Linked DNA regions of Oryctolagus cuniculus. The protein of the gene in region 1 interacts with the protein of each later gene in a pairwise test. Links are inferred from orthologs where the notes say so. Each region holds a gene or a part of one and is shown on either strand. Other genes may lie near its edges. The genes, in order: PPCDC, TXN2, NTAQ1 and FOXR1.

What was found.
Region 2: the proteins of PPCDC (region 1) and TXN2 interact in binary tests that used the Homo sapiens proteins (3 or more experiments, as listed by UniProt). The two-hybrid records come from large-scale screens. The link is inferred for Oryctolagus cuniculus from reciprocal best matches to the Homo sapiens genes PPCDC and TXN2.
Region 3: the proteins of PPCDC (region 1) and NTAQ1 interact in binary tests that used the Homo sapiens proteins (3 or more experiments, as listed by UniProt). The two-hybrid records come from large-scale screens. The link is inferred for Oryctolagus cuniculus from reciprocal best matches to the Homo sapiens genes PPCDC and NTAQ1.
Region 4: the proteins of PPCDC (region 1) and FOXR1 interact in binary tests that used the Homo sapiens proteins (3 or more experiments, as listed by UniProt). The two-hybrid records come from large-scale screens. The link is inferred for Oryctolagus cuniculus from reciprocal best matches to the Homo sapiens genes PPCDC and FOXR1.

The regions. Positions count from the first base shown.
Region 1 is NC_091443.1:108,737,313-108,744,559, reverse strand, and holds the end of PPCDC (phosphopantothenoylcysteine decarboxylase), read left to right. Parts: intron 1-1,907; coding exon 1,908-2,003; intron 2,004-2,655; coding exon 2,656-2,784; intron 2,785-3,189; exon of another isoform or gene 3,190-4,993; intron 4,994-5,516; coding exon 5,517-5,685; intron 5,686-5,996; coding exon 5,997-6,082; 3' UTR 6,083-6,504; downstream 6,505-7,247. UniProt on the Homo sapiens protein: Catalyzes the decarboxylation of the cysteine moiety of 4-phosphopantothenoylcysteine to form 4'-phosphopantotheine and this reaction forms part of the biosynthesis of coenzyme A.
Region 2 is NC_091442.1:113,721,937-113,729,613, reverse strand, and holds the start of TXN2 (thioredoxin, mitochondrial), read left to right. Parts: upstream 1-3,410; 5' UTR 3,411-3,561; intron 3,562-4,158; 5' UTR 4,159-4,170; coding exon 4,171-4,433; intron 4,434-7,645; coding exon 7,646-7,677.
Region 3 is NC_091437.1:149,129,155-149,137,062, forward strand, and holds the start of NTAQ1 (protein N-terminal glutamine amidohydrolase), read left to right. Parts: upstream 1-2,868; 5' UTR 2,869-2,992; coding exon 2,993-3,084; intron 3,085-7,908. Other genes in the region: ATAD2 (ATPase family AAA domain-containing protein 2), read right to left, coding at 1,269-1,375, 1,769-1,881, 2,151-2,191. UniProt on the Homo sapiens protein: Mediates the side-chain deamidation of N-terminal glutamine residues to glutamate, an important step in N-end rule pathway of protein degradation.
Region 4 is NC_091432.1:111,302,842-111,310,670, forward strand, and holds the start of FOXR1 (forkhead box protein R1), read right to left. Parts: upstream 4,982-7,829; 5' UTR 4,635-4,981; coding exon 4,574-4,634; intron 1-4,573. UniProt on the Homo sapiens protein: Transcription factor which acts as both an activator and a repressor.

The DNA.
Region 1 (7,247 bases):
GCCTGGGCTCGGGGGGAGATCTGGGGGCTTACCTGTTCCTCCTGCGGGAGGGGAGCCCAGCTCTGTGCCGCAGGTGCGCAGTGGCTGCCGCTCCTGAGCCCGTCGTGCGCCCTGGTTTCTCAGCTGCTCCCAGCTCGCAGCGTTTCCCTTTCTCGCCTGTCTGGTGCCGTCTGATCCCATCTGTCCCCTTCCTTCTCCCGCAAATGAGTTTGCCTCACGCTGTCCTTTTCTGTCCTCTTCTCTTTGTTCTGCAGTGTTTGTATCTTTCTTAGAAATTACTTTCACAAGGGCCTCTCAAAAAGTTTGCAGGAAAATGGAATTAAAAGGTCAGTTGGGGGGCGGGCATTTGGCACAGCGCTTTAGGCACCCGTTAGGATGCCCACGTCCCACACAGCAGTGTCTGGGCTCAGTGCTGACTCCACTCCTGACCCAGCCTCCTGCTAGTGCGCACCCTGGGAGGCAGCGTGGTGGCTCAGGTGGTTGGGCCCCTGCCATCCACGTGGGATCTGGATGGAGTTCCAGACACCCAGATTTGGTGGGGCCCAGCCCCAGCTGTTTTGGGCATTTGGGGAGTGAACCAGTGGGTGGAGGATCTCTGTTTCTGCCTCTCTTCTCTCTGCCTTTCAAATAAATGACTTAGTGTAGAGACAAAGCCTTGCTCCTGCGTCCTATCGAAGGCTGTGCACGGATCCCCTGTGGTGTCTGCTGCTTCCCTCCTCCCACCTTGTTGGGCGGATAGAATTTTCTTCTGCTAGTTTGGAAGTTAGATGCTCCTCTCTAGGTGATTGTGCCCCACACTTGACCTTGTGTCTTTCCCCACGGGGAAGATGAGACCCACGGCAGTGCCCTGTGCCGCGGCCTCTCTGGGGCTGGGTGCTGCAGAGGCGTTTCGCTCAGGGCTGGACGAGGCTTGTTGGGGCTGTGCGCGGCCATGCCAGCACTCTGAGGGGCTTGGTTTAAAGGGCCCCTCCCCGACGTCCCTGAGGTTTGTACAAGGCCTGTGGAGGGAAGACGCTCGTGGGAGTGAGGTGGAGAATGGATGGGTCACCTCCTGCACTGCTTCCTCCCAGACTTCTGCTTCCTGCTCCCAGGTGCTGTCCAGAGCTCGCTGACCGCTCAGGCCTGGAGCTGAGTTGGCACAGGCATGGCACGCCCCAGCCGCGAGGCCGCCCTTGCTCAGTGCCCCCAGGTCAGCGAGTAGGGAAATGGGGCCAGCAGCCCTCAGGCTGTCAGCCTTTCATGGGAGCCAGGAAGTTCAGTTTTCTACATGAAGCCTTCCAATCTGTGTTGGCTCAAAACAGGTCCCCAGCGTGACTGTACGCCCACTGCTCTGCTCCTGGGCGGGCGTCCCCTCCCGACACGCTGGGGACACGCTGGGGACACACTTTCCTTCTCCCTTCCCCTCCCAGCCTGGTAGTCTGACCGCACGTCTCACACACGCAGACGCTGCCCCGTGCTGTGTGGGCGATTTATGAGTAAACGATGGGCGTGTGGAGGCCGCTGAGAGCAGGCCCCCTTCCCAGGATTCCTTGTTCCTAGAAGCACCCAGAGGCCTCTGCTGCTTTCTCACTGGGGCTGGGGTGTGACTGCGGGGCCAGACCAGCTCCCAGTGCCTTGCCTGTAGAGGGCAGGGCTGCCATGTGCTGGACTCGGACCCCGTGAGGCCACCGCAGTGGCTTGAGCTTTCTCCCTGTCACCAGCCTGCTCCGCCTGCCAGCCACTGTGCCCGGGCAGCGGGGCCTGCTGCTCCCTGAGCACTGGATGGTGGGCACGGGTGCACCTGGGAGGGCCTGACCTCGGGTGACAGATGCGGGCTGGCTGCTGTTGCAGCCCTCTGCCCCGACGGCCCCCAGGCCTGCGGGTCTGACGGTTTCTCCCCTCCTTCCTCCGCTGGTGCTTGGTGACAGCTGGAAGTTGCAGTGGTCACAACTGAGAGAGCCAAACACTTCTACAGCCCCCAGGACGTGGCCGTCGCCCTCTACAGCGACGCTGACGAGTGGGAGGTCAGTGCGGGTGCGTTCCCACCAGCAGGGGCAGGACAGCCCTCCCTGCAACTGGGCTGGGCTCCCGTCAGCGGTCAGGGCCATCTGGGCAGAGACGGCGAGGAAAACATCTGTCCGGCTGCTGGCCTGCGGGCGGAGCTCAGCCTGGCCAGGTGCCCGGGGTCGAGTGTCCTTGTACTTATCTGGCCTGGTGAAGCCACAGAGCCGCTCTGTTCCCACCACCCTGGTCCACGTGGCTCCTGGCGTCAGCGCCTCACTTCCCACGGCCGCCGGGCCCATTCACCAGACGCCGAGCAGGGCCTCCCAGGGGTGCCCTGCCAGGCGATTTTAAACATTCTCAGCCCAGAACATTTCTGGCTGGCCTGCCTCCCCCACCCCGCCCTGGGGCCCTTCTGCTGGCTTGGACAGCCCAAGCATCCGCCTCCAGCCCGGCGGGAGATCCCTGCCAGATGTCAGCGCTCTGGAAAACCAAGCCATAGAGGGAATGGCTGGGAGACAAGGGGCATTTGTCTCTTAGGGCCTGGCTTCTCTCAGGCCCCGCTTAGCTGTGGGAGGGATGCGGGCCCCTGACCTACTGTGCCTGGCCCCTCTCCCCGACACACACGCTGAGAGAGTGGCCATCTCGGTGACCCCGCCCCCTTCCCTCGGCCAGATGTGGAAGCAGCGCTGTGACCCTGTGCTGCACATTGACCTGCGGAGGTGGGCCGACCTCATGCTGGTGGCCCCGCTGGACGCCAACACCCTGGGGAAGGTGGCCAGCGGCATCTGTGACAACTTGCTTGTGAGTGACCTCCCGTGCCCTCCCCTCTGCCCGGGCCTGCTAAGCTGCAGACTTCTGGTGCAAGGAGCCTCTTCCGTGGGCCGGGGCCTGCCTCACTGTCTGTGCAGCAAGTGGTCCCGGGGTCCCTGGAGGGGCTGCACCTTAGCACTCAGCCCTGCCTGGGCTGCCCCTGCCCTGCGCTGCCGCTGGGCTCCCTGCCTGGCCCACAGCCTCCCCGTCAGCTCTGGACACGCATGAGGCCGAGCTGAGAGGGGGTGGACTTCCGCAGGGGTCTCTCGTGCACAGTGAGGCCGAGACACGGTGTTCCCGTCTGTTAGGGGGAGCTTAGCGGGAGCAGCAGACGGCAGGTGGGGGGAGCTGGCAGGCATCCAGCCGTGCAGAGCGGGTGCTGTCTGGGACCTGCAGCCTCCCGGGAGCTGGCGTCCTGGGAGCTGCCCTTGCTTCTGTGGTCGTCCTGGAAGATCTGAGTGCGAGCTCTCCCCTGCCGTGAGACACGGCACTCACGATCGGAAGGCACGCTCACCCGCGCCCCAGCCAGCAGTACGGTCCTGCCAGGCCCTGTCGGGCACCCTGGTGTTGTGCGGGCGTGGGAGGCGAGTAGTGACTCCACTTTCACAGACAGCCCGCAGTTCTGAGCTCGATTTGGGAAAGAACGGGAGTCGTGACGCGGAGGCGGGGCTTGGGGTCAGATGCACGGTTTGTGTCCTTGCCCGCTTGCCAGTGGGCTCTGCAGTGTCAACCTCGTCTGAGGCAGGGCTTGGGGCGAGCAGGGCGCCCACGCCGTGTGCTGCAGGAGAGCTGGCCCCTGGAGGCCACGCCGTGTGCTGCAGGAGAGCTGGCCCCTGGAGGCCACGCCGTGTGCTGCAGGAGAGCTGGCCCCTGGAGGCCACGCCGTGTGCTGCAGGACAGCTGGCCTCGGAGGCACCAGGAGCGCTTCCTGGCGGGGCTGCTCCTGGGGCCTGCAGGTGAGGCGCCCAGTCCTGCTCATCACAGAGGGGTCAGCGTGTGTGACCAGCCTGACCCACAAGTCCCAGGCCTCCCACTGGCTGTCCAGCTGCCTCCCGTATGACAAAGCTCGCTGACCTCAAGGACCTCTCCCTTCCTTTTTCCTTCAAAGCTGCTGCCACCCCTGAACTCAGGACACCCCCCCCCAAGCTGGCAGGCACGAGGCTCACGAAGCTTGAACTGGTGTCCTCGCTCAGTGGCACTCACCGCATGCCCCCCGCAGGGCCCCCCGCCTGCTGTCTCCCTCCCCACCTCTTCTCCCTTCCAGTCCAGACCCTGGGATGCCAGGGGAGCCTGCTAGGAGTGGGCCTGTGCCCCTTGCCTCCGTGTCTGCCTTCTGGCCCATGCAGGCCCCGGCCTGTCCTGTGCCACACAAGCAGGCAGATCTAGAGAGAGGAGGTGACTTCCCAGCATGGAACATGCAGCTGGGAGCGGGCTGTTGGCTGAACACCAGCCCTTTGGTGTCTGGTTGGATTCCTGGGTGCAGAACCAGAGGCGCAGGACACAGATAGGAGTGGCCGTGTGAGCCAGTGACTTCCTCTCCTCCCTCCTGCTGCCAGTGGGTGACAGGCAGGGTGGCAGGCAGGTGGCTCAGAGGAGCCGTGGGCTGCCCAGGAAGTGCTGCTGTCCAAGGTGAGGTAGGGAGAGCTTGCTGTGCTGGGCTTTGAAGAGGGCACCTAGGAGCCTCCACTCAGCCCCCCACCCCACAGCGCTAGGGCAGCAGCAGGTGGCTGGGGCCAGGAGGAAGTGCAACCGAAACCGGCCACTCACAGCCCAGCTGCCGTGTTGCCAGCACTGGGTGGGAAACCGACGCTGTGTCTGAGATGACGCAGGCAGTAGGTCTGGGGCTGTGTGGGACAGAACTTCCTTCCTGTCCCCAGGGGAGGGCAAGGGCACCTAGGGCAGCTGTGGTCCTGGCCTGTTGGTAGCATTCCCAGATGGGCCGCACTGCAGGGGGGGTTTCATGTCCAGGGAGGAGGCGCCTGCAGCCGTTGGTGCCTGGGGGAGCCCGCTCCCTCCTGGGGCAGCCCCCGGCCCAGGGAGCCTGTGTCTGGCAACCACAGGAACTGCTTGAGGGCCGGGGCCTCGCGCCAGCCCTTGCTGTGAGCCCTGACAGCCTCTCGCCCGCAGGCCTTGCAGCTACACAGGAAGGACTCTGAGGGAGGGGCTGCGCCCCCCAGCCCGTGAGAGGAGGCACAGCCAGGTCTCTGTGAGCTGCTGGGGTCTGGCTTCGGGGGGCAGTGGGGTTTTGCAGGGTGGTGGAGGAGGGCAGAGGAGCACAGGGTCGCCTTCAGCGCTCGCCTGTCAGGGAGCTGCAGCTTGCCCGGCTGCGGTGGGGCAGCTCCTCTGTGAGGGTCGCGGTGAGGGTTCGGAGGGAAGTGTGAGTGTCTGAGAAGGTTCTTGGCAGCGCCAGGTGGCCTAGAAGCAGAGCTGATGCAGGCAGTCTGCTCCAGAGGAGGTGTGAGCCCAGGGCTCAGGCTCAGGCTGGGGCACAGGGAGCCTTCCTGCAGAGGACAGGGGGCCTGCCTGGAGGGGGCCGGGCCGCTGGCAGTATTGCCCGAGCACCTCCTGTGGGGGGCCAGGGGGCCCGCCAGCCAGCTAGCTAGCTGCCTGCCGATAGGCTGCACCGGGCCCCTGCAGCCTGGGGCTGCACTGCTGGTGCAGGGCCTAGAGGACGGGGTGGGTGGCGGCAGACCTGCAGGACCCCCGCCCCGCCTCCTTCACAGACCTGTGTCATCCGGGCCTGGGACCGCAGCAAGCCCCTGCTCTTCTGCCCGGCAATGAACACGGCCATGTGGGAGCACCCAATCACCGCCCAGCAGGTGGACCAGCTCAAGGCCTTCGGCTACATCGAGATCCCCTGCGTGGCAAAGAAGCTGGTGTGTGGAGACCAAGGTGGGCGTCTCACCAGCCTCACAGCCTGGCCGCAGAAGGGCTTGTGATGGTGGCAAAATCGCCCCCCTCACTGGACCTTGGGAGTCGCCAGAGTGGTCGGGATGAACGTCACGGGCAGGGCCTGGTGGAGTCCCTGGCACGCAGCCCCATCCCAGGGCCTGTGCTGTGCTGTCCAGGAAGGATTCCAGGGGTGGCTTAGGCAAACGCACTGGCCTGGCCTTGGGCTCTGGGTAGGGTACCTGGCGGAACCCTGGGAGGGGCTGTGGGCCCCATCTGGCAAGTCCTTGGCCATAGCAGAACTTTGCTCCCAGGTCTGGGGGCCATGGCGGAGGTGGAGACCATTGTGGACAAAGTGAGAGAAACCCTGTCCCAGCACGATGGCGTCCAGCACGGTTGAACTGGGGTTTCCGTGCCGTGTGGCCTCTTCTCCTGGCCGAGCTGCGAAGGAGGGAGGCGTCCACCCTTGGTGAAGAGGCCCATGTTTGCTGAGCAGGGCTCTGACCTGGGCCTGCCCTGGAGCTGCCCCAGGCACTGGCCTGCTCCTGGCTACACTGCATCAGAGGCTTTGGGCCTGGCTTCTCCCAGAGGACGCCTGCTGCCTGCAGCCCCTTCTGCCTGTTCCCAGAGTGGTGCCGTGATGGTGGCTGTGTTGTCCCTGTGCTCCTGGGCGCAGGACTCAGTGACAGGAGACCTGGAGGTCCTGGCGGGGTGGGTCACTTGCCTAAGTGCCCACCGGCAGGACGTGGTGTCCACTGACCGTGCTGTGAACCTGGGGTGCTGGGAATAAACAGTGACCTTCTTGGGAAGGGTCTGGGCTGACGCTGGCTGGCCGATGCTCCTTCGTCCCGTCCCCTGCTCGAGTCAGTGCGCCCTGCTGGCCCCGACTGGCTCTTCTCCCTCGCCGTCCTACGCTCGTGGAGGTGTGGGGAGGACCGAGGGAGAGAAAATGCGTGGAGTACAGCAGCCCCCTGCCCCGCCCCAGCGCCTGCCTGGAGCCTCGAGGCCTGAACCCCTCATGCTGTTTCCTCCTGGACCCACATTGCTTTCTGCAAGCACAGGTGAGCGGCCAGCGGGGCTGGACCTGCCTGGGCCCCCGGTGCCTGTGTGTGTGGTCTCCTCTGCTGTCCTGCTCCTGAGACGGGGCTGGGTGTCTGGGCCCCTTCCCCCCAGCTCACATAAATGGGGAGGAGGCCCCAGCGAGACCACAGCCCCTGCTGCCCTGCATCTGAGCTCACGGCTGTTTGGCTGTACTGTGCAGTCGGGAGCTGGGGTTGGGGCTGGCTTCCAGATCAGACATGGGGGATACCCCGTCCCGTCCCAAGAGCCCCGAGACTGGAGCTGCCTCCAGAGCCGCCAGGACACCACTGGCCAGGACCAAGGCCTCCGCTACCTCCAGCAGCTCTCCCCTCTACGGCACCTGACAGGATGAGTGGTGCTGTGGGATAGAATTGCCTTCAGGCATGGAAGAAGACAGAACTAACGTGTAGCATAAAGCCCCTCTGGAGGCCGGTGTTGTGGTACAGTGAGCTAGGTGTGCCCGTGACGCCAGCATCCCCTGTGAG
Region 2 (7,677 bases), on another chromosome or scaffold:
AAAGGAAATGACCCTGGGAAAGCCGCGCTCGGCCGCGCATCGCCTCTCGCACATACGCGGTCACGGTCGGGCTGCCGAACGGGCCGCGGGAGCCACAGCGCCACCGTGCGGCGGCGGCTCCGTCCACCGAGTCTGAACCTGCACTGGCTGGCCTGCCGGCGGGGGAGCTGGCAGGAGAGGCCGCAAGGTGGGGCCCGGGCCCTGGGCTGGGGGTGCACAGCGCCTTCCCACTAGCTGGGTGACCTGGACGAGCTCCTTAACCTCTGTTAAGAGGCTCTCGCAGTAACAGGGAGACTGTAACTCGCAGCCTCACCGGGCTGTAGGAGCCACAGTGGCCCCCCGCGCGGCGCTGGAACCGAGCCGGGCTCGCTGACTCTTCCAGTAAACCAGCAGCTTTGGGGTCCTTTGTATCCCAGCTTAGGCCACGCAGACACGAGAGCGACAGATGCTTCCCCAGGCCCTACTCTGACAGCGGACCCTGATGTTTCCAATTCTGCTCTGTGTTTTGCAAAGCTGATTGCAACTCACTAAACTGATCTTGCAAATCCACGATGGCTCACATCCCACTTCTGAAAAACTCTGCAACGAATACCGGCAAGAGGGCGTGGTAGGCGCTTTACCCTCGGCCCAAGATGCCCGCCCTTGGTCTCACACCTGTGCTCCGGCCACACCCAGGCCAGGTCCGCTCTGGCTGGCTGAGGGCCGTCTCACCGACTCTCCCCCTGCAGGAGGGATGAGGCACTGAAGACACAGCCTCTCCACCCAGCAAGCACTGTTCTCCCCATTCCTCAGACAAGAAGCCTGAGGCCAGCAGAGGCGAAATGACCACAGGCTAAGGACAGACGGGCCCGGTCTTCCCTTGGAACCCAGGACGTGAATCCAGCAGGGGAACTGGCTCTGCAGAAGGTGCTCCAGAGCCGGCGCCGTGGCTCAATAGGCTAATCCTCCACCTTGCGGCGCCGGCACACCGGGTTCTAGTCCCGGTCAGGGCGCCGGATTCTGTCCCGGTTGCCCCTCTTCCAGGCCAGCTCTCTGCTGTGGCCAGGGAGTGCAGTGGAGGATGGCCCAAGTGCTTGGGCCCTGCACCCCATGGGAGACCAGGAAAAAGTACCTGGATCCTGGCTCCTGCCATCGGATCAGCACGGTGCGCCGGCTGCAGTGGCGGCCATTGGAGGGTGAACCAACAGCAAAAGGAAGACCTTTCTCTCTCTGTCTCTCTCTCTCACTGTCCACTCTGCCTGTCAAAAAAAAAAAAAAAAAAAAAAAAAAAAAAAAAAAAAAAGAAGGTGCTCCAGAGGGTGGGTGGGTGGCTGTGGCACAGGAAGTTCCAGAGACACAGAAAAGTGGGTCTGAAAACGAGCCGGCAGCAGCAGCCCCGTCAGGGAGGCACCAGGGGCCTGGCAGTCCCACCCCGGGCTCCAGTGTGGGGGTCAGGCAGCGCGGAGGGGCCCCGTTCCGTCCAGCCCTGCCAGCCGTGGCCAAGTCACCCTGTCAAGAGGAAGGTCGACATGGCGGCTGGCAGCCTGTTCCAAGGATCCCCCACCCCCACCCCATCCCGCTAGGAGAGCTCTCTGCAGAGAACTGGGAAACCTGCCCGTTGGACGGGGGACAAATACTAGCACGACGTGGCCAAGCTGCGCTGCAAGAAACACAGAGGGCACAATAGGGCCATGCCACGTGACGGGGAAAACGGGATTTGCAGCCAGAAGATTCTATCTGGGTCACTGCTCTCTGTTCATGAGCACCTACCATGAGGCATCAGGCCCCGCGGCCTGATGGAGAGGGGGCAACGCAGACAGAGACGGACCGGAGAGGGCTCGCAGAATAAAGAAACAGACAAGAGCAAGGCGGCCCAAGCGCATGACTGGCAGAGGCTCGGAGGAGAGTCCTGGCGCAGCAGGGAGGGTGCCCCTGGGATGCCTGTTTGCAGTCCCAGCCCCTCCGCTCCTGTTCCAGCTCCCTGCTAATGAGCGCACGGAGGCTTTAGATGATGGCTCAAGTCCTGGCGTCCCTGCCACCCTGGACTGGGTTCTGGGCTCCTGACTTTGGCCTGGCCCAGCCCTGGCAGTCTGGGGGTTGGGGGAGTGAGTCAGCAGATGGAGGCTTCCCTGTGTCTGATTCTCTGCCTGCCTAATAAAATGCAACTAAATCGACGCACGAACGTGCTCACGGCCGCCGAGAGGGCTCACCAGGCTCACTCCTGGCCTGGCTGCGGGAGCACTTTCTCTGGCAGACAGCAGAGGGAGAAGCCAGGGCGGGGCTGGGAGAGACATTTCTGTCAACTCGGGAACTCACTCACACCCCCAGGCTGTTGAAATGGAGGTCAAGACAGCCTTGCTAGGCAGGGCAATAGAAATCAGTCTGTAGGGGCTGCGCTGTGGCGTAGCGGGTAAAGCCGCTGCCTGCAGTGCGGGCATCCCATGGGGGCACCGGGTCAGGTCCCGGCTGCTCCACTTCCCATCCAGCTCTCTGCTATGGCCTGGGATAGCAGTAGAAGATGGCCCAAGTCCTTGGACCCCGGCACCTGCGTAGGAGACCGGGAGGAAGCTCCTGGCTCCTGGCTTCAGATCGGCACAGCTCTGACCATTGCGGCCATTTGGGGAGTGAGCCAGCAGAGAGAAGACCTCTCTCTCTGTCTCTACCTCTCTCTGTCTCTACCTCTCAAATAAATGACTAAAATCTTTTAAAAAGAGAGATTCATCCATTTGAAAGGCAGCCTCAGAAAGAGAGGGAGACAGAGAGATCTTCCATCTGCTGGCTCTTCTGAATAAGCCGCTCTGGCTTTGGCTCGACACTCCCGCTCTTTCCTGACAGGTGTGACGCAAAGCAAACAGGCCATCGCTGCGTCCACAGGATTCTACGAGGCCCCGCGTGGCCGCACTGCCAGGCGCCGTGTGCAGGGGAGAGGAGAAGGCTGTGCCACCGGCCCGAGACAAGACAGCGGCCACGGCGAGAAGGGAAGGCCTCGGGCCTCGGGCCCAGCTCGCCCTGGTCACCTGGGGCCTGAGGCAGGCACGCGCCAGGGCTCCGGTCCCCAGCGACGCCCCCGGGGGCAGGGTGACCCGCTGTGCGTCACAGGCCAGGGACACAGAGCGGCCCCCAGACCGCCAGGGAAGTAGCTTGGTACCAAGCCTTTGAGGATGTCAGCCGAGGGAAAGAACCCTGCAGCACCTGCAGGAGTCACTGGGAGGAGCCACTGGCAGACGAAGAGCAGCGGCCATTACCGCAGCAAGAACCCGGAACCACGCCCCCCGTCTCGGTAACCCCGCCCCTTCCGCTCCCTCTTCCGGTCCCTCCGCTAGGGCGCACCGCCCCTTCCGGTCCCATCGCACCCGCGGTTCATCCTCCCCTTCCGGTGTGTCGCGGAAGCTCCGCCTCCTGGGGTGTGCCTTCTTCCGCTATTCCCATTGGCGGAAAATCCAAACAGCCAGCGACGCCCTCCAGGTTGCCCGTTCCAGGAAGTGACGATAGGCAGGCCCGCCCCTGAGGAAGTGACGTCTGAGTGCCCTTGACGGGCGGGGAGGGCTGGGCTGCGCATCCCTCCTCTCGCGCTGTAGGGAGGTAAGCGGCTGGGATGGCCCGAGGTGGGGTCGCGTCTGCGGCTCTCTGCGGGCGCGCTCCCGCGCAGGCCCGGGCCGCGGGGGGACCTGGCCTTGCGGAGAGCTGGGGTCCCAGGCGGCGTCCCGTTTCTCCCAGTTCCCCCCGGACACGTGTGCCTTGTATTTTGGTTCCCTCCACACTCCGACCCTTGTGTCTCTTGGTTCCTCCTGGAATGGCTGAGGTTCCCCGTTTCTGAGCCTACGCGCATCCCTGTCCCTGTGTGCGTTCTTCATCTCCCTCCGAAACGCTTTGTAGAGGAGCGAGGCGCAGAGGCGGCCTTGGGGCCCCGCGTGGACTGCCCTTGGGCGGCCGGGGTCCCGGGCGTGGCCGCAGCTGACCTGCGAGGACCAGGGATGTGTGACAGGCACTTGGCCCGTCGCGGGGCTCTGCAGACACTGGGTCCTCCCTCCGTCCTGGGAATCCCGCCCAAGCCCTTTGGCGGCGGTCAGCCCGGGTCGCCTGGGCCCTCCTTCGTGCCGCGGCCCCTCTGCCCCAGAAGTCTCCGCTGTGATCTCATGGCGGTCGGCCTCCCCATGGGTCTGTTACTGTGTGCCCCAGCTTCCCTTACAGATGGCTCAGCGACTTCTCCTGAGGAGGTTCCTGGCTGCCGCCGCCTCCAGGAAGCCCGCCCAGAGTCGGTGGGCACCGCTCGCCTTCAGCGCGGCGCGGACCCCGCCGTGCGGCCCCGGTGGCCACACAGGGACACCCAGCCCGGCCCGGACGCTGCACGCCACCGGAGTGCTGGCCACGACCTTTAACATCCAGGATGGATCCGACTTTCAGGACCGAGTCGTCAACAGCGAGACGCCAGTGGTTGTGGATTTCCACGCACAGTGAGTAGGGGCGGCAGTCAGCTTGAGACAGGACTGGGCTCACTCGGGCATTCCCCGAGCGCCCGCCGGGGCCCAGGGTCGGGATGGGCGTTTGACACACAGAGAGTGGTGAGCGTGGACGCCCCGCCTCCCCGAGGGGGGTCTGCAGGGCTGACCGTGGCCGCAGTCAGTGCTGGGGGAGCATTTGTGTTCCCTCCGCACCAGGTGGAAAGCCCAGAGTCCCCCTTGGAGAGAGCACCGGGGTCGGCGCTGTGGCGGAGCAGGTTAAGCCTCTGTCTAAGGCACTGGCATCCCCTATGGGCGCCGGTTCGAGTCCCGGCTGCTCCACTTCCGATCCAGCTCCCTGCTGTGGCCTGGGAAGGCAGAGGATGGCCAGAGTGCTTGGGCCCCTGCACCCACATGGGAGACCCTCAGGAAACTCCTGGCTCCTGGCTTCAGATCGGCCCAGCCATTTGGGGAGTGAACCAGCAGGTGGAAGACCTCTCTGTCTGTCACTCTGCCTCTCAAAATAAATAAATAAATCGTTAAAAAAAAAAATAGAGATTTTCCACGCCACCACAGTGGTGCCCACGCATGTAGGGGAGGGCAAGCTTTTCTCCAGCACTGTACGAGTTGGTTTGGATACTTAAAGGCCAGCGGCTTTGCGATTTCTTCTAACCTGGCCTCCATTTCCAGTCTCTTGGGTCCTGCCTAGATGCCAGACCCCTGAGGACGAGGCCTCCCGGGGAGCCGGTGTGCTGTGGGCTGAGTCAGGAGGTGGGAGACCGGGCAGAGTCGCTGACAGCTTCTGAAGCTGCCTATACAGCTCCCTCTGACTCGCCGTGGCCTGGAGCAGCCCACCCCCTGTCCTGGGGCAGCCCACTCCCTGTCCTGGGGCGGCCCACTCCCTGTCCTGGAGCAGCCCACTCCCTGTCCTGGGGCAGCCCACTCCCTGTCCTGGGGCGGCCCACCCCCTGTCCTGGAGCAGCCCACTCCCTGTCCTGGGGCGGCCCACTCCCTGTCCTGGGGCAGCCCCCTCCCTGTCCTGGGGCGGCCCACTCCGTGTCCTGGGGCGGCCCACTCCCTGTCCTGGAGCAGCCCACCCCGTGTCCTGGGGCGGCCCACTCCCTGTCCTGGGGCGGCCCACTCCCTGTCCTGGGGCGGCCCACTCCCTGTCCTGGGGCGGCCCACCCCGTGTCCTGGGGCAGCCCACTCCCTGTCCTGGGGCGGCCCACTCCCTGTCCTGGGGCGGCCCACTCCCTGTCCTGGAGCAGCCCACTCCCTGTCCTGGGGCGGCCCACTCCCTGTCCTGGGGCGGCCCACTCCCTGTCCTGGAGCAGCCCACTCCCTGTCCTGGGGCGGCCCACTCCCTGTCCTGGGGCGGCCCACTCCCTGTCCTGGAGCAGCCCACTCCGTGTCCTGGGGCGGCCCACTCCCTGTCCTGGAGCAGCCCCCTCCCTGTCCTGGGGCGGCCCACTCCCTGTCCTGGGGCGGCCCACTCCCTGTCCTGGAGCAGCCCACTCCGTGTCCTGGGGCGGCCCACTCCCTGTCCTGGGGCGGCCCACTCCCTGTCCTGGGGCGGCCCACTCCCTGTCCTGGGGCGGCCCACTCCCTGTCCTGGGGCGGCCCACCCCGTGTCCTGGGGCGGCCCACTCCCTGTCCTGGGGCGGCCCACCCCGTGTCCTGGGGCAGCCCCCTCCCTGTCCTGGGGCAGCCCACTCCCTGTCCTGGGGCGGCCCACTCCCTGTCCTGGGGCGGCCCACTCCCTGTCCTGGGGCGGCCCACTCCGTGTCCTGGGGCGGCCCACTCCGTGTCCTGGGGCGGCCCACCCCGTGTCCTGGGGCGGCCCACTCCCTGTCCTGGGGCGGCCCCCTCCCTGTCCTGGGGCGGCCCACTCCGTGTCCTGGGGCTCCCTCCTTGCTTGGGGAGGAGCTGAGGCCTTGCTGTGGGCTCTAGGGGCTCCGAGGTCATCGGCTGAATCTCTGAATGGAAAAGGCTTTTCTGTTTTTTTTTTTTTTTTCCCCTGTTTTGTTTTTAGTTTGAGGAGGAAGGACACAGAGCTCAATCTTCCGCCCTCTTGTTCACTCCCAAATGCCGGCCACAGCGGGGGCTGGGCGAGACCATGGCCAGGAGCCAGGAGCTCCATGCAGCCCTCCCACGGACTTGAGCCGCCACCTGCTGCCTCCCAGGGTGCGCGCGCGCGAGCAGGAAGCTGGTGTCCGGACTGGAGATGGGGCCCGAACCCCGGCGTTGTGCGGGGCGCACACGTCCCCCTCGGCGTCCTAACCCGCTTCCCCCATTGGGACTTTCCCTAATGCCTGTGGGCCTCGGTTTTGGGGGGCTCTTTGTGGTGTCAGCAGATTTGAGGAGTCTGCAGGAAGAGCAGAGGAGGTGCAGCAGTGGGCCTGGAACCCTGTGGACGCCCGGCCATCGCTGCCCCTGCCTTCAGCCCGCAGTCCACAGGGCGCTGGAAGCAGCTGCAGGCCCCAGAGGCCGTTTAAGATGGCCGATTTCTCCTAACAGCCGGAGGGGCACGGCCTGCCTTCTCATAAGGGCTTTAGGGGGCACAGCCTGCCTTCTCGTAGGGCTTTAGGGGGCACGGGCTGCCGTTTGCAGTTGAGGAAGCAGGCCCAGCTGCTGGATGAGGAGCCTCTCTGTGAACACAGACTTTTTAACGTGTCTCCAACAGCGTGTGCATTGAGACCCAGATCCCCCCTGACTTCCGGTGGCCTTAGCTGCCAGCAAGGCCACTGTGCGTTGAGAATGTCGAGTCGGACACACATCGAGGGTGCCTGGGTCCGGCCTGGCTCGGCAGCACGGGGCGTGTCGGGCATCTTCCTTGTGGCCGAGGGGCTGACCGGAGCCGCGCGCGCTGCCAGTGCCCAGCACCACGGCGCCCAGTCACGTGTCTCTAGCCCAGGAAGGGTCAGGGTTCAGAGTGTGGCTCCTACATATATGTGTGCCCTGTGCGCCGTCGCGAAGTCGGGCCGTCGGCTTGAACCACTCTGGGCGAATCACCGCGGGCGTCCTAGGATGCAGCCGTGTCCCGGGGTCTGCAGAGCCTCTGGCATTGCTGTTCGGTGTGTCAACACGCCAGGTTAATGTTCAAACACTAGCACAGAGGATAGGGAAGGGCAGAGGTCCCTGGGGAAGATGGGGTCGGGCGGTTCGGGGGAGGCGGGAGGGGTGGAGGGCCCTGCACTCTGGTGACCGCGTGCTGCTTACCTTCCGAGGTGGTGCGGCCCCTGCAAGATCCTGGGGCCAC
Region 3 (7,908 bases), on another chromosome or scaffold:
CAGCATCCAGGGCTGGGCCAGGCTGAAGCCAGGAAGCAGGAACTGCATCTGGGTGTCCACATGGGTGGCAGGGACTCAAGTACTTTGGCCATTATGTGCTGCATTCCAGGAGCAGGAGCAGGAAGCTGGATCAGAATCCGGGGCAGGCACTCTGATAAGTGATGTGGGTGTCCCAGGTGGTGGCTAAAATTGCTGCACCACAACACCTGGCTCAGTCCAGCTATCCTTGACAGTACCTATGCTTTACCAGGCACTATGCTAAGTGCTTTGTACAGATCAGTTTATGTTATATGTATTACAATATCGATTAAGTAGGCACTCTACTCTTATCCTCATTTTACAAGGAAACTGATAAACAGAAAGGTTGGTGACTCATCCAAAGTTATACAGGATAAGTGGTCAAGATAGGATTCAAGTCTGTCTTTCTGGCCCTAGCTCTGTTATACTATTCTACTTCCCAAAGCAAAATCCAGGCCCTGAGCAGCTCACGGCAGAGGTAGAGACAGTCAGCTTAAATTACTGATGTTTGATTACTGATGTATGATACTGCTGTTCAAGACATGTGAATAGAAGTTGTGATAAAATGGTGGTGGTGGGGGAAGCTGTGAAAAGATGGAAGGAAACAATTTCTGGAAAAAGCTGCCAATAAGGAAGGCGGAGGAACACATCAGCCCAAGTAGACAGTTACCTTGCACACAGCCTTGGAGTATCTAAGGAAGAGCAAGGCACTCAGTGATGGACATGTGGGGTATGTTGGAAGTCATGAGGGGAGATTATACCAAAAATCATGGTTGCTAGCATTTAGCGTTATGTGCCAGCAACTCTTCTAAGTGCTTCATACACATACATTCAATTAACCAGCATTACCAACCCTAAACCCTATGAGGTAGGTAGTACTATTAATGACTTCATTTTGCAGGTGAGGAAACTGAGGTCCAGCAGGCTGAAGTAACTTCGCTCCAGGTCACACAACTAGGAAACCACTGAACCTACCTAATCTGGCTTTGAAGGCGTATAGCAGTCGGAGTCCAATCATGAGACAAGAAACTACACAGTAGGTAATGCAAGGAAAGTTGAATATAAAGAATTAATGGTGGAAGTATGTGGCTCAGTGGTTACTGCATCACTTCAATGCCCACATCCTAAATGGGAGTACCTGGCTTCAAGTCCCAGGTCAGCTTCCAATTCTAGCTTCCTACTGATGAGCACTGTGGGGGGCAGTAAGTGATGGCTCAAGTACTTGGATCCCTGCTACCCACATGAAATACCTGTATTGGATTCCAGGCTCCTGGTTTCAGTATGGTCCAGTCCTGGCTGTTGCTGGCATTTGGGGAATGTACCAGTTGATGGATGATCTGTTTGTCTTTCAAATAAACTGAAAATAAATTTAAAAAATTAAAAGAAGCATTAATTGTGGTAAATGTGTAACTATTGTAAGGCTACTACAAGATATAAAATCCTATAATCAGGCATAATGAAATTTTCTATGGCTCCAAACCAAGGAAGGTGGGTGTGCTACTAGAAGTTTATCACTCCGGCGATGTTGGAGGCAGTCTGGGGTTGCTGGGAAAGAACAGGCCACCCTGGAAAGGATAGGCAGGCGGGTCACCAGAACCAGCAGTCTGGGGACACACAGAAGGCCTTCGGTGTGCTGGGGGTGGGGAGGAGGGGACCCTGCTGTGTGACTGCTGGCCACTGGGGACAAAGGCTCTGGCTTGAGGGGCTGAAGGAGGAGTATGGCCGGCTGAAAAGGTCACAGAGCACGCACCTTCTGGGCCTGAGGCAGGGCAGACTGCACTGGACGTGACCACACCCGTGGCTGGAATGGAGCCCAGAAACTCCTGGGAGCCTCTTCCTCCCGCAATGGCCCTCCAGCTCTCTCTAAAGGGGAATTCTGTCGGTTGGTTAGTGTTCAGACCCCAGAGGTAACAAATCCAAATCGGACACAAAAGCGCAAAAGTGTTTAAGGGCTTTGGGACACAGATCAGAGAATCTGCCGCGGACGGCCCTGGCCAACCTAACCATTTCAGTTGGATAATGGTAGGATTCTGATCAGCTGTCCCAGTATAGGTCTGTTGCAAACACAGAGTGTAAAGTCTAAGTCCTTGAAAGCACACATCCCAGAACCATTCCTTCACCAGAGTTCTCACCGTTTGGCGGCTTTCCTTCCAGACTGCCAGCAAATAAACATGGTTAACACAGAAAGATGATTTTGCAACTTATTTTCTGACTGTATCCAGGGACCAATATATCCTTCCCAGCCAATACATACAGCCCTCCTAATTAAAAAAAAAATGCTACATTTGGGGTGTGATTCCTTCCTAAAACCGTCCTCGCGACGGTCCTACTTGGAATTTACCCTCCACCGCTACCTCTCCCCCGGGCTCCAAACTACAGCGCCCATTTTGACACACAAAGCCTTTCTAATGGCAGTCCATCTGGTTCCTCCACAGCCCAGCGGGCAACGCCAGCCCAGCCACTCAGGGCCCCGGGGTTCACCAACTCCAGACTCTCCCCTAACTCCTCCCTCAGGCCGCTCGCCGCGGACCCTCTCGCCCAGGATTCTCGTCGTCCCCGCCTCACCCCGCACGCCGACCACGCCCCAGAGCCCGCCCCCCGGAAGCCTGGGCGCCAGCTCTTCCCGCCCCCACTCCCCTCCCCACCGTCTCCGCCTACCCGGAACCACGCAGCCGTCTGCGACCCGGGTCCGCCCACTTCTCCCTGGCTCCACCCTCTCGAAAATCCAGCGTCGTCCTCCCCCGAGCTCCGCCCACTCAGTCCGGACCTTCGCGCGCTGGCAACTTGAGCCGCTTGCCCCGCCCAGGCTCCGCCCACCCCGCCCAGGCTCCGCCACCCGGAAACTGCCCTGGCCGCCTCAGGCTCCACCTACTCCGCTCCGGGAGCGGGCGCTGTGGGCTGCGCGCCGGCTGCTTGCAGCGATTGGCCCACTCGGGCCGCCTCCTGCCCGGGCCGCGGCCCAAGCTAGCCCGCCATGGAGGCGGGGGACTGCCCTGCCGCCGCCGCCGCCTGCTACCAGCCGGCCGGCCCTCCGCGGGACGCCTGTGTCTACAGCAGCTGCTACTGGTGAGGGGGCGCGGACGCAACCCCCGGAACCCCGGAGCGGCGCGGCCCCGCCTCGTTCCGGCCCCTCTCCGGCGGGGTTCGCTGGTTTGCGGGAGGAGGGAGCGTGAATGGCAGGCTTGGTCTCTGGAGTAGAGCTGCGGAGTGCGAAAGGCCAGGCTCGCTGCCTCTGCCCGGCGCCTCTCACCGGACAGGCGTGGCGGAGCTCAGTGCCTGGCGCAGACGCGGGGGGCTGCAGCTCAGAGCTCTGGAAGTTACTCTGCTGACGCCTGCGCGCTGCGGGGCCTAACTTTGGAAAATGGTCGCGGTACAGAGAGTTCGAGGGATTTCTTCTTGAGGTCCTCCAGCTGACAGCCGCTGGGAGTCCGGCTCAGGCTCCTCCGGCGCCGGAACCCACGGTCTTGTTACCGCTCAGCTGTCATTACAGTTAACGTCGGTGACGTGTGCACGGCACCCTGCGTGGTTTTGGGAACAAGCACAGGAACCCCCAGGAGGAGGGCGCTCTAGTTTATCCCCAGACGGAAGAAGCGCAGAGCGGGGCAGGTCATTTGCCTAAAGGGGAATGCGGGTGTCCTGGCGGAGGCTGGCTGTGGGCTCCGGGCACTGCGCCCCGGCCGCCTCTGCAGCTGCAGCACCACCCGCCCGCCCTGTTCATCTCTCACCTTTCTCCCCCTACCCCCCAACCCCGTCTTCCAGTTGCTGACCCTCAGGACCCTCTAAACTACTCCCTAGCCCCTAGCTGGTCGTCTGACTGTTGCTACTGACGGCTTGCCTTTTGTTCCACTCCGGCTGCGTGTCAGGCCCGGTGGCAAGAGCTTCCGTCCATCCCTAGGAAATAGGTTCTACGATTACCATTAGCCCCCCTTTGCTGGTGAGACTGAGCCATCGGGACACTGTTTGCAAGCGGTGGTGGTGCAGCTGGAGCCGCCTGTGTGGTGCTGGAGCCCGCGCGTCTTACCCGCTGCACTCTGTTTCTTCCCTGCCGCTCCTAGATCTCTGTGTTCTCATCCCTACCGTGCATGCATTGCTCCATTCATTCATTCAGTAAACGTTTACTGGGCCTTGGAGTGCGTGATGCATGAATCCAGGCACAGAGGACATAGCAGTGAACAGACTTAAATCCTCCGGTGAGATCTCGTGATTCTTACGTTTCGATGGAGGGAGAACAGTTGAAAACAAGTAAACCATGTTTGCATGGTATTAGAAAAATAAGACAAGGTAGGGGGTGATGATTTATGCTGTCTTATATTAGGATATTTAGGGACATTGCCCATAAAGTGGTTTGAACAGAGGTCTGAAGAAACAGAGGGTAGGAGCTTTGTGGGTACAGGACAAAGTTGATCTCAGACAGAACAGCAGGCGGAAATGTACCCAGAAGGAAGTGTGCTGTGAGCGTTCTGGGACTGTCAAGAAGGCTGGTGCAGATCAGTGTCTCTTTTTAAAAATTTTTTTGGTTAACTTGTAACACATGTTCATTGGTATGGGGTACCATGTAGTATTTTTTTAAGATTTAATTTTTAAATTTTTATTGATTTTTTAAAAGATTTTATTTATTTCTTTGAGAGGTAGAGTTACAGAGAGAAGGAGGGAGAGACAGAGCAAATGGTCTTCCGTCCACTGGTTCACTCCCCAAATGGCTGCAATAGCTGGAGCTGGGCCGATCCAAAGCCAGGAGCCAGGAGCTTCTTTCAGGGCTCCCACGTGAGTGCAGTGGCCCAAGCAGCTGGGCCATCTTCTGCTTTCCCAGGCCATAGTGTAGTCTCATAGTGTCAGGCAGTAGCTTTACCCACTAAGCCACAGTGCTAGCTCCTACACTTCTTTTTTTTTTTTTTTTTAAACTTATTTATTACTTATTAGAAAGGTAGAGTTACAGAGAGGAAGGTCTTCATCTGCTGGTTCACTCTCCAAATGGATGCAGAGGCCAGGGCTGGGCCATGAGACTGGAGCTTCCCCTGGGTCTCCCATATAAGTGCAGGGGCCCAAGCACTTGGGCCGTCTTCCGCTGCTTTCTCAGGCACATCAGCTGGGAGCTGGATCAGAAGAGGAGTAGCTGGGACTAGAACCGGAGTCCATATGGGATGCTGGTGCCACAGGTGGAGGCTTAGCCCACTGCACCCAGCGCCAGCCCATTAGATCAATGTGTCTTTAATAGATCATTTCCTTGAGTTCCTTTAGCCAGAGGCCTGGCCCTTCTCGGCTGTCATGGAGGCTATTCTAGTTGCTTCCTACCAGGCCTTTCAGGCAGACCTCCCCTACCTCAAGTCTTTAACCTTGCTTGGCTCCAGAACCTGCAGATGGGAGGGTGCCACCTCATAAGGCTTGAGTGAGTAAGCAGCATGGTTGGAGAGTACGAGGGCTGGTCTGTTGATTACATTTCAAGGAAGGCAGGCATGGACAATAAAGTGCATCTCCTGAACATAGCAAGCTCTCCAGGGTCTGGTCACTGTTCTTCCAGCCTCATGTTGAACCTGCCATCTGAGCTGTGCTCCAGGGTCCCTCCTTAATATTGGCTCTGTTGAGATTTGGGGCATGATAATTCTTGGCTGTGGGGGCTCTCCTGGGTATTGCAGGATGTGTAGCAGCATCCCTGGCCTTCACGTGTTAGATGCTCTTGGTACCTTCTCCCCAGCTGCCACAACCAAGAATGTCTCGATATTACTGTGTGTCCCTCTGGTTAGAAACCAATACTCTGCCCTGTCTGCACACCTAAGTACTTTTCACTTTTGCTCCTGTAGGTTCTTTTTTTTTAATCAGGATACTGGTGTTAGAGGCAGTGACTTTACCCACTAAGCCACAATGCCAGCCCCTACACTTTTTTTTTTTTTTTTTTTTTTTTTAAGATTTATTTTTTATTTGAAAGGCAGAGTTACAGAGAGAGGAGGAGAAACAGAGAGAGGTCTTCCACTAGTTCACTCTCCAAATGGCCGCAAAGGCCAGGACTGGGCTGTGCTGAAGCCAGGAGCTTCCCCTGTATCTCCCTTATGGGTGTAGGGGCCCAAGCACTTGGGACATCCTCCGCTGCTTTCCCAGGCACATCAGCAGGGACCTGGATTGGAAGTGAAGCAGCTGGGACTTGAACCAGCGCCTATAAGGGATGCTGGCACCGCAGGCAGAGGCCTAACCTGCTACACCACAATGCTAACCCCATCCTACAGGTTCTTCTAACTTGAAATAGAAGCCTCCTCTACACTTCTGGTATAGTTTTTTGAAATTCATGTGTAGTCACGGCCTTAAAACAGTTCATAGAAAATGCTTATGAAAAACATTGCATGGATTTAAAAATTTTTTTGCACCAAAAATAATTTTACACTTTAGTTCCATTTTTCCACAGACTTTTTTGAAGTACTTGTCATGGCAGCCAGTATTTGTATGGGATGATGTAGCTTGCAGAGCATTTCTGATTCTGTTTTAATTGTTCTGTATTTCGGGGCTGTCGTTGTGGTGCAGAAGGTTAAGCTGCCTCCTGCGATACTGGCATCTCATATGGGTACGAGTTTGGGTCTGTTGCTCTATTTCCAATCCAGCTCCCTGCTAATGCACCCAGGAAAGCAGCAGATGATGGCCCAAGTCCTTGGGCCCCTACATCCATGTGGAAGACTTGGAAGAAGTTTTGGGCTCCTGGCTTCAGCCTGGTCCAGCCCCGGCCTATTAGGGAGTGAACCAGCAAAGGTAAAATCTCTCTCCCTCCCCCTCCCCCTCCCTTCCCTTTCCCCTCCCTTTCCCCCTCCCCCTCCCTTTCCTCCTCTCCCTACCTCCCCCCTCCCCTTCTCTCTCTGTAACTCTGCCTTTCAAATAAAAAAAAATGATCTGTATTTTTTTTGACAGGCAGAGTTAGACAGTGAGAGAGAGAGAGAGACAGAGAGAAAGGTCTTCCTTCTGTTGGTTCACCCACCAAATGGCCACTATGGCCAGCACTGTGCGGGTCCAAAGCCAGGAGCCAGGTGCTTCCTCCTGGTCTCCCATGCAGGTGCAGGGCCCAAGCACTTGGGCCATCCTCCACTGCACTCCCAGGCCACAGCAGAGAGCTGGACTGGAAGAGGAGCAACCGGGACAGAATCCGGTGCCCCAACCGGGACTAGAACCTGGGGTACTGGCGCTGCAGGCGGAGGATTAGCCTAGTGAGCCATGGCGCCGGCCAATTGTTCTGTATTTTGCAAGCATTTGTGGAAAAGCTTCTGGATGCCAGGGTTCCCGCCTCCTCCCCACTTGCTTTTCTGTCCTCAGCCTGTAACCACTATAGTCTCATTCATTGTGCTATTCTGTCAGCTCTTCTGCTACAGAAATGATTGACTGACAGTTGGGGGACATTATCACCTGCCCTTTTATTTGAAAGTCTGCTACAGAGAGAGAAGAAGAGACAGAGACAGAGAGAGATCTTCCATCTGCTGGTTCATTCCCCAGGGGCAGGGAGAAAAAGGGAGGGACATTGTGGTTAGTGGATTATTTTTATTCAACTAAATAAAAAATAAATCTTTTTTAAAAAATATTTATTTTTTTTAAAGGCAGAGTTACAGAGAGCATTCCCCAGATTGCCGCAATGGTCGGAGCTGGGCTGAGCTAAAGCCAGGAGCCAGGAACTTCTTCTGGGTCTCTCTGGGGGGTGCAGGGGCCCAAGGACTTGGGCCATCTTCTACTGCTTTCCCAGGCCATAGCAGAGAGCTGGATTGGAAGTTGAGCAGCCAGAACTCGAACCAGCTCCCATGTGGGATGCTGGCACTACAGGAGGCGGCTTTACCTGCTACACCACAGCTCTAGCCCCTACTCCACTTCTGATCCAGCTCCCTGCTAATGTGCCTGGGAAAGCAATGGAAGGTGGCCTGAGTCCTT
Region 4 (7,829 bases), on another chromosome or scaffold:
TACAGTAAGAACCAGGGGCTGGTGCTGTGGCAGAGTGGGTTAAGCCATCACCTGCAGTGCCAGCATCCCATATTTGTGCCAGTTAAGTCTAGGCTGCTCCACTTCCGATCCAGCTTCCTGTTGATGCTCCTGGGAAAGCAGTGGAAAATGGCCCAAGTCCTCGGGCCCCTGAACCCATGTGGGAGACCCAGATGAAGCTCCTGGCTCCTGGCTTCAGATCGGCCCAGCTCTGGCTGTTGCAGCCATTTGGGGAGTGAACCAGAGGATGGAAGATCTCTGTCTCTCCTCCTTTTCTCTCCTCTCTCTGTAACTCTACCTTACAAATAAACAAATCTTTAAAAAATATATAAGTAGATAGGAGTTAACCCATGAAAGAATGGGGGAAAATCTAATTAGTATTTAATGACATAACAGATTTGAATAAACAAAGACAATAAAGATGTCAGTTACCTTTCAAATCAACCTATACATTTTTTAATTTTTTTATTTTTTTTATTTTTGATAGGCAGAGTGGACAGTGAGAGAGAGAGACAGAGAGAGAAAGGTCTTCCCTTGCCGTTGGTTCACCCTCCAATGGCCGCCGCTGCAGCCGGCGCACCGCGCTGATCCGATGGCAGGAGCCAGGATCCAGGTGCTTTTTCCTGGTCTCCCATGGGGTGCAGGGCCCAAGCACCTGGGCCATCCTCCACTGCACTCCCTGGCCATAGCAGAGAGCTGGCCTGGAAGAGGGGCAACCGGGACAGAATCCGGCGCCCCGACCGGGACTAGAACCCGGTGTGCCGGCGCCGCAAGGTGGAGGATTAGCCTATTGAGCCACGGCGCCGGCTACCTATACATTTTTAAAAAGATTTTATTTATTTATTTGAGAGGCAGAGTTACAGACAGTGAGAGGGAGAGACAGAGAGAAAGGTCTTCCTTCCATTGGTTCACTCCCCAGATGGCAGCAGCCATGCCCATCCGAAGCCAGGAGCCAGGTGCCTCTTCCTAGCCTTCCACGTGGGTGCAGGGGCCCAAGGACTTGCCCAAGACCTGCTTTCCCAGGCCACAGCAGAGAGCTAGGTTGCAAGAGGAACAGCTGGGAATAGAACCGGTGTCCATATGGGATGGGGCGCCACAGGCGGAGGACTAACCTACTGCGCCACAGCACCGACCCCAACAACCTATACATTTTTATGCACATTTAATAATACATAAAAATGAATGGACAGCTGGTGTGGAGGCTGCCACTTGGGACACTGGCATCCCGTATCAGAGTGCTAGGTCAAGTCCCGGCTCCCCTGCTTCCCATCCAGCTCCCTCCTAACGTGCCTGGTATAGTAACAGATGACCCAAGTACTTGGGTCCCTGCCACCCACGAAGGAGACCTGGATGGAGTTTCTGGCTCCTGACTTCAGCCCAGCTCAGCCCCAGATTGTTGCAGACATTTGGGGAATGAACGAACAGATGGAAAAATCTCTCTAAAAATAAATTTTTAAGATCATTTTTAATTCTTTTTATAATTAATTTATTTGAAAGGCAGAGTGACAGAGAGAGAGATCCCAGGCACCCTGAAATGGGATGCTGGCATTGCAAGTGGCAGCCTAACTGCCCTGCCACAATGCCAGCCCCGAAATTAATCTTTAAAAAAATTAGAATTTCTGCACACTAAAAGTCACCATAAGCCAAGGGGGAAGACAAGTGACAATAAACTAGGGAAAAAATTCAACCCAAAGTTCTCTAACATGCAGAGTTCCCACAAATCCTTAAATAAAAGATCAACAAATTTACAAGTGAGAAAAAAAAATCAGCATTCCTAAAGAGGGGTACCGAGTGGCTAAAAGATGTTCAACCTTATTAGCAATTAAAAAATAAAATACAACACTTCACATCAATCAGATTAACAAGAATCATGAAGAAAACAGAACCCCTGATCACCCTGCACTTCCGGCTGTCAGCCACTCAGCCCCACATGGAGCACTCAGTGCAGCCACCCCCCAGACTGCTCCTGTTACAGGGAACTTAAGTCTCCTCGGCTACTGTCCTCCACTAAACTCTCGGCCACTCCCCCTCATCTGAAAGGGCTTACTGTCACCCTCTCCATCACTCCTGCCCTAAGTCCTGGCTGTTTCCTGAACACTTCCACACTACTAAAGTAGTCCCTCTCCATCATGAGCTAAACCAGTAACCGCAGCCTCTCCATAACCTCGTCTGTGCACCACGTAAGAATGTGCCACCTTCTGTCTCTCCAGCTAACTCACTCCCCACCCCGACTAGGACCTCCCACGATCACCGACCCATGGACCAAAGACTTAAGAGCACTTGTTTGGCAGGGCTGAACCTAATCAGGGTTCTGTTTGAAAGCCACAGAACAGGGAGGAAAGCCGGCGGACCGGAGACCTCAGCAGGATCCGAGGAGAGAGCCTCTGTCTTTCTGGCCAGCAGATTCCCTGTGCCCTCAGGGACAACGTCCCAGGAACCCTCCCTCTTTCCTGTGTCCTTAATGTTGCTATTCTCACCAGCACCCAAATGTGCTGTTAATTCTCCCGTGTGACTAAAAAGAACTTGTTGGCCCCCACTTTCTGAACCTGGCCACCACTATTTTGAGACAGAATTCCTTGAAAGAAGAATTTATACTTTTCATCTTCACTGCCCCTCCTCCCATTCCTTTATTTATTTATTTATTTAGAGAGTTCCAGCCTCTCTCTTTCCATCCCTAAAGCTCTTTGATCAGCTTTCCATTCTACACCCCCCCCCCCCCCAAGGTCATCAGGGACTTCCAGAATGCTAAATCAGCCACTAGTCTCTCCCCTCCTTGAACCCTCCCTAGAATGGTTTCCCGGACACCAGTCCCATAGCTTTGGTTCTCACTGGTCTTTATTTTTTCCTACTTATCTCTTCTCCCTAATCTTTTTTATAATGCAATGCCCCTGGGTTCATCCTTGGCCCTCCCGGCCTCACTCCTCAAACCCCACCCATATTCCAAAGCTTGGAAATTTACATCTTGCAGTCCTCACCTCTTCCCAGAACACCAGGCCCTTAGGTCCAACCGCCTACTCAACACTTCTAGCAGTGCCAGACTTTCACCTGATGCACCAAGAGCTTCAGACAGCCACTCTAGGATCTCTTCCTTCCACCAGGCATCCAATCCACCAGCAACTGTGGCCGCCTTCGCCCCTCCCCACCTGGTCTGCCATTCTCTCCCCCCACAGACAGCACACCCTCCAGCTGGCAGCCACGGGGATCCTTCCAGACTGAACATCTTGTCAAACCAGGGTTGTCATTTGTAGGGCCCGATGCAAAGTGAAACCATGGGGCTCCTTGCTCACACCAGAAAGACAAGACCGCAGTGACATAGTGGGCAGCAGGCTCACGAGAGGGGCCCCAGGTCACATCATTTGTCTGCTTCAAACCTCCCAGCCGTGCCTCACGTGAAGTCAATACTGAAGTCCTGACACAGCAGACAAACGCCTCTGCACCCACAGCCCGTGAGCTCGGCAATGGCCTGGATGCAGCCTCACTGGCCTCTCTGCAGCTCCCCAAACACCCGAGGACGCTGGCATGGAGCAGGACGGCTTTCATCCCCTTCAACTCCTTGCTCAAGTATCCTGTTCCCAGTGGAGGTCTACACGACCCTGCAACACCACAGCTGGGAGCACCTCCAACCGTGCCATCCCATGTTTCCTTTCCCATTACAGGTTAGACATAGGACATAACCCGCTCCTCCAGGCACTGTCTGCCTGCCCCAGGAGACAGCAGCCTGTGCCGGCTCGCCCCTCCATTCCCGGTGCACCCAGCGTCCAGGACAGTGGCAGGCCAAGGCGAGGCCCTGAATGAGGGAACACACAGGAACGTCCTGTGGCATTACCCACCATGGCAAACAGCTGGGGAGGGTTTAGGTGTCAGGACAGTGACAGCGCAGAAGGGAACACACGTGGACCATAGGCGGCTACCCAACTGCAGGAAATAACCAACCAACCCTGCATCTAGCAACACAAAGAGCTCCGGAAAACCGTGGGAGCTGGGAAGACAATCAAAAGATTGGGATCCCAACACGGAGGGGAAATGGGCAGAGTCAACCCAAGGCTTTAGCGGCCGCGCTGGCAAACAGGTGCCGCGAATTTTGGAATAATTACCTCGGCTCTCAACTGTGGAGGGTCAAAGGGGAGGAGAAAACAACAAGGCGACGGCCAACCGTCCCCTAAGCAAGCCCTGCACAAGTCTGCATCAAGAGGTGGAGATGCAAACAAACAACACCGTTCCTTCCTTTTTTTTTTTTTTTTTAAGAGAGAAAAACAAGGCGAGCCTACAGCGCTCCAAATGGCGCCGCCGAGGAGCCAATGAGCGAGCAAGGAGAGGCGGCTCGGCGGAGCCCTAGAACGTTCCGGGCGCGGAGAGGAAGGCGCCAAGGTCGGCGAGACCGGCTGTCCTCCGGGGGCTTCCAGTCGAAAGGCGCGCGCGCGGGGCAGGGGCACACACACCGCGGCGCCCCCGCCAACCAGGCCCCGGCGCGGGCGCGGGGTGCGGGGAGCCGCCTGGCCCCGCCGCGACCCGCGCCCGGCCCGCCGCACGCCCCTCCCCCAGGCCCGGCACTCACGGTTCTGCTCGGCCACGGGCAGATGCGATGTGGTGAAGGCCAGAAAGGCCTCGTTCCCCATGTCCCAGTCGAGCAGTCCCGGGACCTGGCCATGGAGGCTGGCCCAGACGTCGAGCTGCTGGAGTTTGAGGTCCACCTTTAGGGAGAGCGCGGCGCGCCCAGCCGCGCAGGGGGTGAGCCGGGAGAGACTGCGGGTGGGCCTCCGAGGGCTTCAAGTACCCTCGCTCCGATAGAATTAGGAGGGAGGCAGCGCAGGTGTGCCAGTCCTCGTTTGACGCCTCTAATCTCGGAGGGAGCCTGCCCTCGCCCGCGGCCGTCGAGTTTGGGGGCTTGGGAACCTCAGGGAGGGGTCCCACAGAGTCTCCCCATCTGTGCTTTTGTGCAGTTATTTTGTTTAAAAGGCGTCGTGGCCCTCCCCTCCCCCACTATTTATAGCCGCCTTCTAGAACTTCTGATGGGTTTTTATGGCTTATCTAAAATCACCTCCGTAGCAGATGGTGGAGATAGGATTAGACTCAATGGTGACTTAATTTTGTTCTTAATTATTTTATCGCATTTTAAAAAGATTTATTTATTTACTTAAAAGAGTTACAGAGAGGCAGAGAGAGGAAGTCTTCCATCTGCTGGTTCACTCCCTAAATGGCTGAAACGGCCAGAGCTGGGCTGATCTGAAGCCAGAAGCCAAGAGCTGCTTGCAGGGGCCCAAGAACTTGGATCTACTGCTTTCCTAGACCACAGCAGAGAGCTGGATTGCAAGTGGAGCAGCCAGAACTCAAAATGGTGCCCAAATGGGATGTGAAACTGCAGGCAACGGCTTTACCTGCTACACCACAGCAGTGGCCCCCTTAATTTTAAGTTTACAGAAAAATGCCAAAAAAGCTATAAGAAAATTCCTGTTTACCCATTTCCCAGATTTACCAATTGACATTTGTCATTTTTAATTTTTATACATATGACACAGGTATTTTTTTCTTAGCTTTTTGAGAGTAATTTGGAGATATCATGCACTTTTACCCATAAATACTTCAGTATTTCCCAAAAATAAGGATATTGGCTTACATAATAAAAAATAAGAAAAGTATCTAAATCAGAAAATTTAGCTTTGATGCAGTTCTATAATCAGTATACAGATCTTATTCAAATTTTGCCAATTGTCCCAACAGTGCCTTTTATGTGGGGCCAGTGCTGTGGCGCAGTAGGTTAAATCCCCAGCCTGCAGCATCAGAATCCCATATGGGTGCCAGTTCATGTCCCAGCTGCTCCACTTCTGATCAGCTCCCTGCTGATGTGCCTGGGAAAGCAGTAGAAGATTGAAGTAACACCTTGACATCAGGGACTCTATTTTGGAGCACCCCCCCCGACCCCCTCCATGAGACTCTGGTCTGAAACTATGCCCTAAAATACTCAAGCAGTAGCAGTCCACTGCATCACACTAGGCAAAGCATAGAAACCCCCTCGCATGCTCGCTCAAGATTGAAGACAGATAGGTGGGGCCACCACTGTGGCCTAGCAGGTGAGGCCAGTGCCAGCATCCCATATGGGTGCCAGTTCATGTCCTAGATGCTCCACTTCACATCCAGCTCTCTGCTGTGGGCTGGGAAAGGAGTGGAGGATGCCCCAGGCCTGCTGCCCTCTCTTGGGAGACCCAGAAGAGGCTCTGGCTCCTGGCTCCAGGCCTTGGATTGGCCCATCTCTGGCTGTTGTGGCCATTTGGGGAATGAGCCAGCGGATGGAAGACTTTCTGTCTTTTTCTCTTTCTCTCTCTCTCTCTCTCTCTCTCACTCTGCCTTTCAAATAAATAAATAAATCTTAAAAACAAAAAACAGGCTGCACCTGGGTTACTGATAAGACTGTAATTCGTCCCTGCCCTACATGTTGTTATACCTGAGCAAGTGAAAACAGAAGGGCACCACACATTGATAAAATTGATGGTTCTTCATTGCTGTTGATGGAGAGCATGCTCACGCCCTAAAGAACTCTTGACCCTGAAGCTTAAAGCAACAGGGTTTATAAAGGCAAAAACCACAAGGAGGGGAGGGGGAACACATGGTTACCGGGGTCAAGCTAACCTAAAACCTATGTGAAACTAATACCAATTATAATCTTAACAGTACCAGTTGCAATCTTAATAATTTCAATTAGGTTCTTGACATTAATCCAGGTATTGGCCTAAATCGTATGTAGGACATAGACAAATTACAGTCTTCTCATTAACCCAGGGGTAGCCTATCTGTTTTTAATCTTAAGCGAGCATGCGAGGGGGTCTCTCTGCTCTGCCTAGTGTGATGTCATGGACTGCTACTGTCTGTTTTAGGTCATAGTTTCAGACCAGAGTCTCACATTGGGGGGTGCTTTCTCAAGATGGAGTCAAGATGGAGTCTCAGGTGCTCCAAAATGGAGTCCCTGCTGTCAAGGTGTTACTTCAATATGATTTAGGCCAATACCTGGATTAATGTCAAGAACCTAATTGAAATTGTTAAGATTGTAACTGATATTGTTAAGATTACAATTGGTATTAGTTTCACATAGGCTTTAGGTTAGATTGACCCCAGTAACCTTGTATTCCCCACCTCCCCATCCTAGCAACCATGTATCCCCCCCTCCTGTTTTTGTGGTTTTTACCTTTATAAACCCTGTTCCTTTGGGCTCCGGGCTTGAGAATTCTTTAGGGCATGAGCCTGTTCTCCCCCTCTGGCAATAAAGGACCACCATATCTTATCAGTGTGTGGTGCTCCTCTGCACTCACTCAAGTACAACAAGATGACCCAGGTCCTTGGGCCCCTGCACCCACGTGGGAGACCCAGAGGAAGCTCCTGGCTCCTGGCTTAGGATCAACTCAGTTCTGGCTGTTGGCAGCCATTTTGGGAATGAACCAGTTGATGGAAGACCTTTCTGTCTCTACCTCTCTCTGTAACTCTGTCTTTCAAATAAACAAAATAAATCTTTTAAAAAATGTCTTTTATGTAATTTTTTTGGTCTATGATCCTTCAGAATCATTGGGTGCATTTTTTTTTAAAGATTTATTTGAGGGGCCGGCGCAGTGGTGCACTAGGTTAATCCTTCGCCTGTGGCGCCAGCATCCCCTATGGGCGCCGGGTTCTAGTCCCAGTTGCTCCTTTTCCAGTCCAGCTCTCTGCTGTGGCCTGGGAAGGCAGTGGAGGATGGCCTGGGTCCTTGGGCCCCTGCACCCAGGTAGGAGACCAGGAAGAAGCTCCTGGCTCCTGGCTTTGGATCGGTGCAGCTCCAGCCGTTGCGG